2 linked regions of the Macaca mulatta genome follow. The protein of the gene in region 2 binds, or shares a complex with, the protein of the main gene of each other region. Links are inferred from orthologs where the notes say so. Each region holds a gene or a part of one and is shown on either strand. Other genes may lie near its edges.

Region 1 (3,910 bases), on a different chromosome or scaffold from region 2:
CTTTTGGCTTTCTTTGATTCATATTGTGCAAGACGTTCTTCTCTTAGCCTCTTAGCCTCTTCACTTTCCTGTAAAGAAAAAAAATTAATCCACTTCAGAAAGTCGGTTGTCATCTGCTTAAAGCTAGTGGGGTCATCACAAAAAAGACTGGCTTAATCAGAAAAAAGCAAATCCATCACGAACTCAGCCGAAAGATGGTGATTTGATTTTATTCATCATGCAACCAGTCAGAATTTGAAAAAGGCATATAAGTTAAAGCCAGGATTCAAATCCAGGCAATTTGGCTTAACCACATTGATAAAATTGCTGATCGATGTATTCTTTTTTTTTTTTGAGACGGAGTCTTGCTCTGTCGCCCAGGCTGGAGTGCAGTGGCATGATCTCGGCTTACTGCAATCTCCGCCTCCCAGGTTCAAGCAATTCTCTGCCTTAGCCTCCTGAGTAGCTGGGATTACAGACACCCGCCACATTTTTTTAAATTTTTAGAACAGACAGGGTTTCACCATCTTGGTCAGGCTGGTCTTGAACTCCTGACCTCGTGATTCACCCGCCTCAGCCTCCCAACATGCTGGGATTACAGGCGTGAGCCACCGTGTCTGGCCGATATATTCTTTATAGAAGATGCCATACCTCCTCATCATCAGATCCAAAGAGATCAATATCATCATCATCTTTACTATCTGTAGCTCCACTTCCTGTAGTGTCTTCCACATCAGCAGGACCATACTTGCCCAAAGCTTTCTTCACTCCTGGCAGGCTTGAAAAACATTTAAATTCAACCACTATTGAGCTAGTATAACATACTTTTCCAGACAATACAAAATAACTTGTTTTAATCACTACTTATCACTAGATCCCTTTTGCAATAATAATTTACCCTTTCACATGCTCCCAGGTAAACACTATCATATGTTCAACTCCTCACCCGACAAGCATTAGTACCATGTGAGACATTATTTTCAATACTCACTATGATTTACTCTTTCAGTATGAACATTTCTGTTTGAGATTTCATTAAGTATGCTCAGTTCCATTCTTAGTGAACTGGAGTCCACTTCCCCAAACTTCCACCCTTGTTGGCAGTTTCAGAAGAATGGCCAAGGACTGAATGAATGAGCCACCCTCTCACCCCAGAGGTGGGCCCCCCAGGTCAAGGTCGAGGCACATTGGCAGGGCAGTGTGGGGAAAAGTTGAATTGCTGCTGTCCATGTTCTACCTGTTCTGTGAAAAAATGGAGGGCTTCAGTCTCTTGGCCTTCTCAGGTTACAGAAAAATTTAGCTTACAATACCCCAACAAAACTAAAGTAGCCTGGGTCTAGTTTTGTCATGTGAACATCCTGATAAAGCTTCGAGAGTAGTCTTATTCTTCAGCTAGATACAAAGATGATTTTACCTGGCCTTTTCCTTTTCGTAGGACTTGATGTGATTATACCAACGTAGGGCATGACACAAGTCAGCAGGCGGTGGCCCGGACACGGCTTCAAATACTGCCACATCTGCTTGTGATGGCACATACCTGCCAATGACACAGAGACATTCACACACACCTTTGAAAAACAAACGCCAGCGAATAAATAATCAGTGCCTATGCATCACATTAATTAGTGGGCACTAACTCCAGTAGGGTTGCTTTAATGCTTTTCTTTTCTTATTATCTCCTTAAAATCAAACCATATGTTTGGGTCACCGCGCTATCCTGAGAAATGTCTGCAGACCTCAAATACTGCAATCTCTAACGTTGCTCTATCTACAACCTAACATGTATTAACTGGGCAGCGATGTGGAAACACCTGGCTGAATTAAGTGTAAATAAAGCACATTTTAACCTTCCTTTGCTCGTGAGCCGCTCCCCGGAGGCCGGGCTCGCACCACACGAGGGCCTTGGGAGATGGCCACGGGGCGCTTTCCCGTCATCCTCGAAAGGGCCCTGGGGCCCCGTCTCCCTCCCTCCAGCGGCAGCCGACACGCTGCGCCACGTGGCCCCGGCCCCGGTCCCAGAAACCCCTCCACCACCCCGACTCAGCCGGTCCGCTCACCCCTCGATGTAGCTCTTGTCCGCCAGGTAATCGTTGAGCACCTGGAGGCCGGCGGGGCTTTTCAGGTCTCCGAAACCCATGGTGTCGGCTGTATCCGAGAGCTGGGAAACAGCAGAAAGAGAGCGCACAAGTTGTGGGCTCCCCGCGCTTAAGAGAGGAAAAAGGGCCCGGAGAAGCCGGAAAATTCCTTATATAGAGACGGAGGCGTTTCCCTCCACCACGCCGGACCGAAGGTTAAAGGTCAAAGTACGTTAGCATTCCCACTTCTCCACGTACGAATTGGGGGCCCTGAATTAAACGGCTCACAAATTGTCCCTGGATCTTTCGTTGCGTTTGGAAATAAATTAATAAAATGGGCATGTCTTAAGTTCATACCTCCACGGCTCCCGAAGATGACGGGAACCGCCCCTAGAAGCGCCGGAGATGACCGAAGACGCTCGGCCTCGAGGCTGCCGGCCACTTCCGGCGGAACTGCGGGTCCAAGTTGTCCTTCCCGCCTCCGGGCTGGGCCGACCTCAGCTCCGCCCTCTGGTCGGCTGACGGAAATTGCCGACAAACTTATCGAATGCAAGGATTCTAGTCCCTCCGGGCTTTCCGTTCTCCAGGCCCGGCTGACAGAGTTAGCTGAGGCCGCCATATTGAGTAAGCGACCCGGCCTCCAAGGGGGTAGTTGTGGTCCAGACAGTTTAGCAGAACAGCCTCCGCGGCTCCGGGGAGAAGGTGAGGTCTTGTATGGATGGGAAGGGTGAGGTGCATGGGTCAGAGGCTTATTTATTGACGGGACTGTTTCCTTTGGCCCACGCGACTTAGTCTTCTCTTGTCCTTGACTGGGAGCCGCCTCCCGCCCCGCCGCCTCGGAAGCCTCTGAGAGCCGGCAAGTGGGGCTTTTAGCCACGGTCTCTGGTCTGATGGAGCAGAAAGGAAGATGAGGATTAGGGGGCCCTCGGGAGCGCTGGCCCGAATGCGGGCTTGTAGGTGACCTTCCCTCTGCAGGGAAAATTCAGGACATTCCCCTCTCAGAGGAGGCCGTTTTATTCCCCGGTAGAGGACCAGTGTCCGATGACTTAAGCCTTAAGACTGAGCCTTTTCCCCCAGATTTTTACACGCCTGGTACAGTACATGATTGTTTGGTCGCTGTTGTGTTAGCAGTGGCTCACGCTTCTGTTGTCCTTATTTGTTTTGTCCATTGACCACGTTGGACAGAATTTTTAAATTCCTTTCACTAACGGGAAATTGAGAAAAATGACTTTTTGAAAAGTTAGCTCAGGGTTGCATTGCGAATAACAAAATATTGTTTACAAGTTATTGGGATCTATGCTTGTACTGTGAGGTCTTGGATCAGACACAACTTCACACACGAATTGACAGTATAGAAGTGTAACAATAACTTTTTGATGAATAAACAGGTTATTTTTGTTTTGCGGAATAGTCTTGTTTTCACCGACTTAACGCTGCCAGAGCACCTGCACTTTTTAAATCCGGGAAAGTGGTCCCTACAAATTAACGACCAGAAATTAGAGATTCAGTTCACTTAACAGTTACTGAACGTTTACTACGAGCCAGAAATGAGTCCGTAAAGAAGAATAAAATGGGTGATATTCTGGGGAATCGTCAGGAAATGTTAGATAGGCTGGTCAATGAAACTGAGAAAAGGCTTCGAAGCCAAGATTTGAAGGATAAGGAGGGGCCAGGGAAGAACATTTCAGTCCGAGGTCACTGCCAGTGTCAAGAGGGGAGGGGCTGTGTGGGAATAGTGTGGAAGCCTGGTGACCTGTTAAGAAGATATTGAAATACTCCAGGCAAGGAGTGATGGTGGATTGGGATAGGGTGGTACCTTGGAAGGCAGAAAGTAGATGGATGAATCCATGTTGGAG
Region 2 (3,910 bases):
TTTTTTTCAACCTATTTTATTTCTTACTCCCAACACCCAGGAGCTAAGGCCACCCCTGCCCCTGGCTTCTCCCAAAGTTCCAAGGCTCACCTGTTTGTTGTGGTGCATGATGCCCAAGGTGGGGAATACCCAGGTACTGGCTGGGGGCACTATGTCGGAATCAGCAAAGCTCACCCACTGCACCACCTGGGCTGCTGCCTCTGGAGTACTTCCCCGCAGCTCCTCATTGCTCACTGCAGAGGCAGAACACAAAGGTCAGAACTCTGGGGGAATGCCAACACCAGTCCAGGTCCTGAAGAATTCCTTCATATCCATCCCCGCTCACACCCTCTTGTACACCCTCACCTCCAAATTCTCCCATTCCCATATACCCCTGCAAATTACCATAGTAGGCAATGGCGTTGCTCTCAAACACACAGAATCCATCGTCACCCTCAAATGCTGGAACCTGGGGACAAAGCAGTGAAAAGATAAGGTAAAACACACAAAATTTCTCCCTACCCAATACCAGAAGCCAAACTGCTTTGGATAAAAATACTTATGTAAGACTGACGATCCTCACTATCCAAACTCTCCATACTATCTGATACTCAAGAACCATAAATAAATACTTCAAGAGCTGGGCATCCTTTGCAATCTGAATTCACAATGTTAACTAGGAAGCACAATAGATTTGAATATTACAAGATATTTGTATGAAATCTCTGGATCAAACAAGCAGAAGACCAAAAGTAACTCCTGTATCAATGTATCAGTGCAAGTATTAGTGTGTGACCCAGATCCACATAGTACTTCATCTCCTCCATTCTTAGCATGTTTTTTCACCTATCTCTGTAAACCCCTTGGGGTAAGAATCCTGCCCATAACAGACAATCTGATACATTTGCACTGAAAATGCTTAGTCAAAACTCATTCTCTTTCCCACAAAGTAAACTCGTGAATGTATAAAGTCACAGAATAGCTCTGTACTTTTTTTTTTTTTACAACTACATGTGAATCTGCATTTATCTCAAAATAAAATCACTGAAATATTGAAGAAAATAACATGGGAAGCTCTCTTTTAGAGATGGGGGCCATCTCCAGAATGATAGAATCCCAGGCCTTCGTTTCTCAGAACCGAAGGACACTCCCCATCTCCCAACTCACCTTGCCGGCAGGAAATTTGCGGAGAAATTCAGGGGTGCGGTTGGTTTGGCCAAAATGGAAGTGGGGTGGTGCGGAGAGCACGCGGACCTGAGCCCCGCTGTATTGTGCAGCGATGAGAGCCTTGAAGGCCCTCCAGTTTTCAGGATACGTATACAGGGTCTATGAAAGAAAGAGAGGAACAAAATTAATAAGAGCATTAGGGTCCCAGTCCTAAATGCCACTCCCCAGGATGACTTGCCTGAATAATCCCAATGTGTTCAACTCACCCTTTTACTTCCTCTGGTGAACCAAGTCCTTTAACACTTGTCATATGTAATCAGAATCCTCCGAAATACCAAGAACAGAACTACACACCAACTGCTAAATAAAGCTTGTTGACAGATTTGACCTTCCCTAAGGACACCTCTAGAAGCATTCTCTTTCCCTCAAATCTATCTCCCAAGAAATCCAGAACTTCTAGCTCCATCAGACTCCATCTGCCTACAAACATACTCCCTTCCCTTCACGGAGCCCTCGTTTCATTCATTGATGGTTCCGAGCGCCTGCCTACTCTACTGCTCAGCTGCTCTAAGGAACGCACAACGATCGAGAGATTTCTAGTTCCTCTCAGAGTGGCCAGAGATAGGGGATGGCATGCCGTCTTCTTAAATCAACTCCTCTCCCTCAAAAGCCTTTCTTTCCGTGTCGCGCATACCATCCCTCCGGTCCTGTCCCGCAGCAAGTTCCCCAGCGTTGCCTTCTCTATTAAGCTGGCCAGCGGACTCCAATTGGTCTGACTTCACTGTCCGGAGAATCCTCTCGCTCCCAAACCTCCCTGACAGACTACCTTTAACCGTGCCAGCCGGACCTGCCTACAAAGACCCGCTCTTCACCCTGTCCCCGCTGTTACTCCACAAAACGGTCACAGAAGTTCGTCAACCTACCCAGATACTACGCCTCAAGGCGGCAATAGAGCCGAACCCCTTTTTCAGGCTTCGGACGGCCCAGATTCGGCATCCCTTTTCTCCTCTTCCCCAGACCCTTCCACCTCTGGCCTCCGAGAGCCCCAGCCTCAGTTCCCCTCCAGGCCGTAGGAACCCTGCTCTCCAGCAGTACGGTCTGTAGACCCAGAATCAGTTCCCCATTCAGCCTCAGAACTCCTCTGGCGCCGACTGGCCCCACTCGGGCAAAGGATGGCGGTGGATAGGATGACCCGAACCACCAGCGCCGGCAAACTTACCCCAGCCGCCATGGTGATTCCGCAAAGAAAGGGGGTGGGGTTCTCCCCGCTGCCGCAAAGTAAGCCGCCCAGGAGAGAAAGGAGGGGGAAAGGGGAGAGCCGTGGAGAAACAGCAGCCGGAAAGCGAGGACGACACAGAAGACATACGTACGACAGTTCGGTATCCAGTGGCGCCGAATTGGAAAAAGAACGGAGTGGGTGGGGCCTGCTGGCCAGCGCGGAAAAAGCTCGCGCCTGCGCATTGGAGATCTTGACTGGCCCGCCCCTCAGGTGCAGCGGACCAATTGGAGTCTAGACGTGGAGGTAGACAGCGTGGAGGGCGGGGAAGCTGTGAGAACCCGCTGGAAAAGCCGCCGGTTCTCGGCTACGTGGCGCCGCTGCTGGCCTGGCGCCGTCAGGCTGCTGGGGGCGTCCCCCTCTGGCCCACCCAGGGACGAGTGACTCGATGGTAGGTTCTGCCAAGCCCCTCACATGATTCTGTGAAACTCATGGGAGCGAGGAACGACTGCTGCGCGGAGGTGGCAGTGTGTGTGCTATATCCTTTAGTTCCTGCTCTGCTTTTCCTCCAGAAAGGGATGAGTGTCTAACAGGGGCCCCGGTCTGAACCCGCCTGCCAAAGTGACGTTTGCTCACATCTAACCCCTTACAGCTCCAGGGTGCTGTTACTGCGAGCAAGGACACCGGCCCTCCGGCCCGAAGCAGGGCAGGGACACGAGGGAGAACGCGCCCTGTCCCTCCCGCCTCCTCCGGACTCGGCCCCTGGAGGGGCTGACGCTGGAAGACCCGACATCGTCGCTTCTGATATTCATGGCTTTTGACTCATGTTCAGGTTTGAAATCTCTTACCCAGTTTAAGAACGGGATGAACTCTCCTCGTTTAAAGGAGAGAATGAAGAACCCTGAACGCAAATCTCCATCTTTGTCCCCATTAATCTGAGGCGGCAGGAAGAATGTGGAGGCAAACCTGGCTCTTCTCAGTACTGTTCCAGCCACCCACCGCTCTGCCATTCAGGAACTCTGCGCGGGTGCCAGGTGCCACGCACGGTGCTGCCCCCGCACTCCCCGCAAGCTGTGCGAACTGTAGGAAGGAGAGGCTGCTGGGGTGGAGAGCAGTAGGGAGAGACCCATGTTCGGGGTCAGAGGAGAGCAGCTTCATGAAGTTCTGGGGGAGGCGAAGCATTATGACCAGATGGAAATGAAAGGAAACGGGAGACTCTGTATTAATAAACTAGCAGCTTTATTGCCCTTTAGGGGCCATGTCTTCACTTCAGATGTTTAAGTGCTTGAGGGAGGAAAACCTGTAAGAAATGATGGAGATCAGGGAACAGGCCTTGGCGATCCTGGAGCGGGGTCACAGTGAGCATTCGGTCAGCCAGGGAGACAGACGCCACAAAGCTCAGCAGGGGCTCAGTTTCTGGCCTCTCTTCGCCACCACTCAGTCCTCTCAGCTCCTGGGTGACCTGAGCCTCAGTTGCCAGCCACCCTGCTCCTGTGCCAGCACCACCTCCGGCTCCTGCCTTGGTTTGCTGCTGCAAGCGTCTACGGG

What was found.
Region 1: the proteins of EEF1G (region 2) and EEF1B2 are in contact, whole or in part, in a crystal structure (PDB 5DQS), measured with the Homo sapiens proteins. The link is inferred for Macaca mulatta from reciprocal best matches to the Homo sapiens genes EEF1G and EEF1B2. Residues at the interface, in NP_001395.1 of Homo sapiens: Leu146, Lys147, Thr148, Arg149, Thr150, Phe151, Glu155, Arg156, Pro185, Asn186, Arg189, Leu192, Thr193, Asn196, Gln197, Pro198; in NP_001032752.1 of Homo sapiens: Ala20, Asp21, Lys22, Ser23, Tyr24, Tyr28, Val29, Cys50, His51, Arg54, Asn57, His58, Ser61, Tyr62, Glu65.

The regions. Positions count from the first base shown.
Region 1 is NC_133417.1:111,411,953-111,415,862, reverse strand, and holds the start of EEF1B2 (elongation factor 1-beta), read right to left. Parts: upstream 2,442-3,910; 5' UTR 2,117-2,441; coding exon 2,037-2,116; intron 1,517-2,036; coding exon 1,394-1,516; intron 758-1,393; coding exon 631-757; intron 228-630; exon of another isoform or gene 149-227; intron 69-148; coding exon 2-68; intron 1-1. UniProt on the Homo sapiens protein: Catalytic subunit of the guanine nucleotide exchange factor (GEF) (eEF1B subcomplex) of the eukaryotic elongation factor 1 complex (eEF1).
Region 2 is NC_133419.1:11,492,439-11,496,348, reverse strand, and holds the start of EEF1G (elongation factor 1-gamma), read right to left. Parts: upstream 2,387-3,910; 5' UTR 2,378-2,386; coding exon 2,366-2,377; intron 1,306-2,365; coding exon 1,147-1,305; intron 449-1,146; coding exon 385-448; intron 234-384; coding exon 91-233; intron 1-90. Other genes in the region: TUT1 (speckle targeted PIP5K1A-regulated poly(A) polymerase), read right to left, coding at 3,627-3,910. UniProt on the Homo sapiens protein: Probably plays a role in anchoring the complex to other cellular components.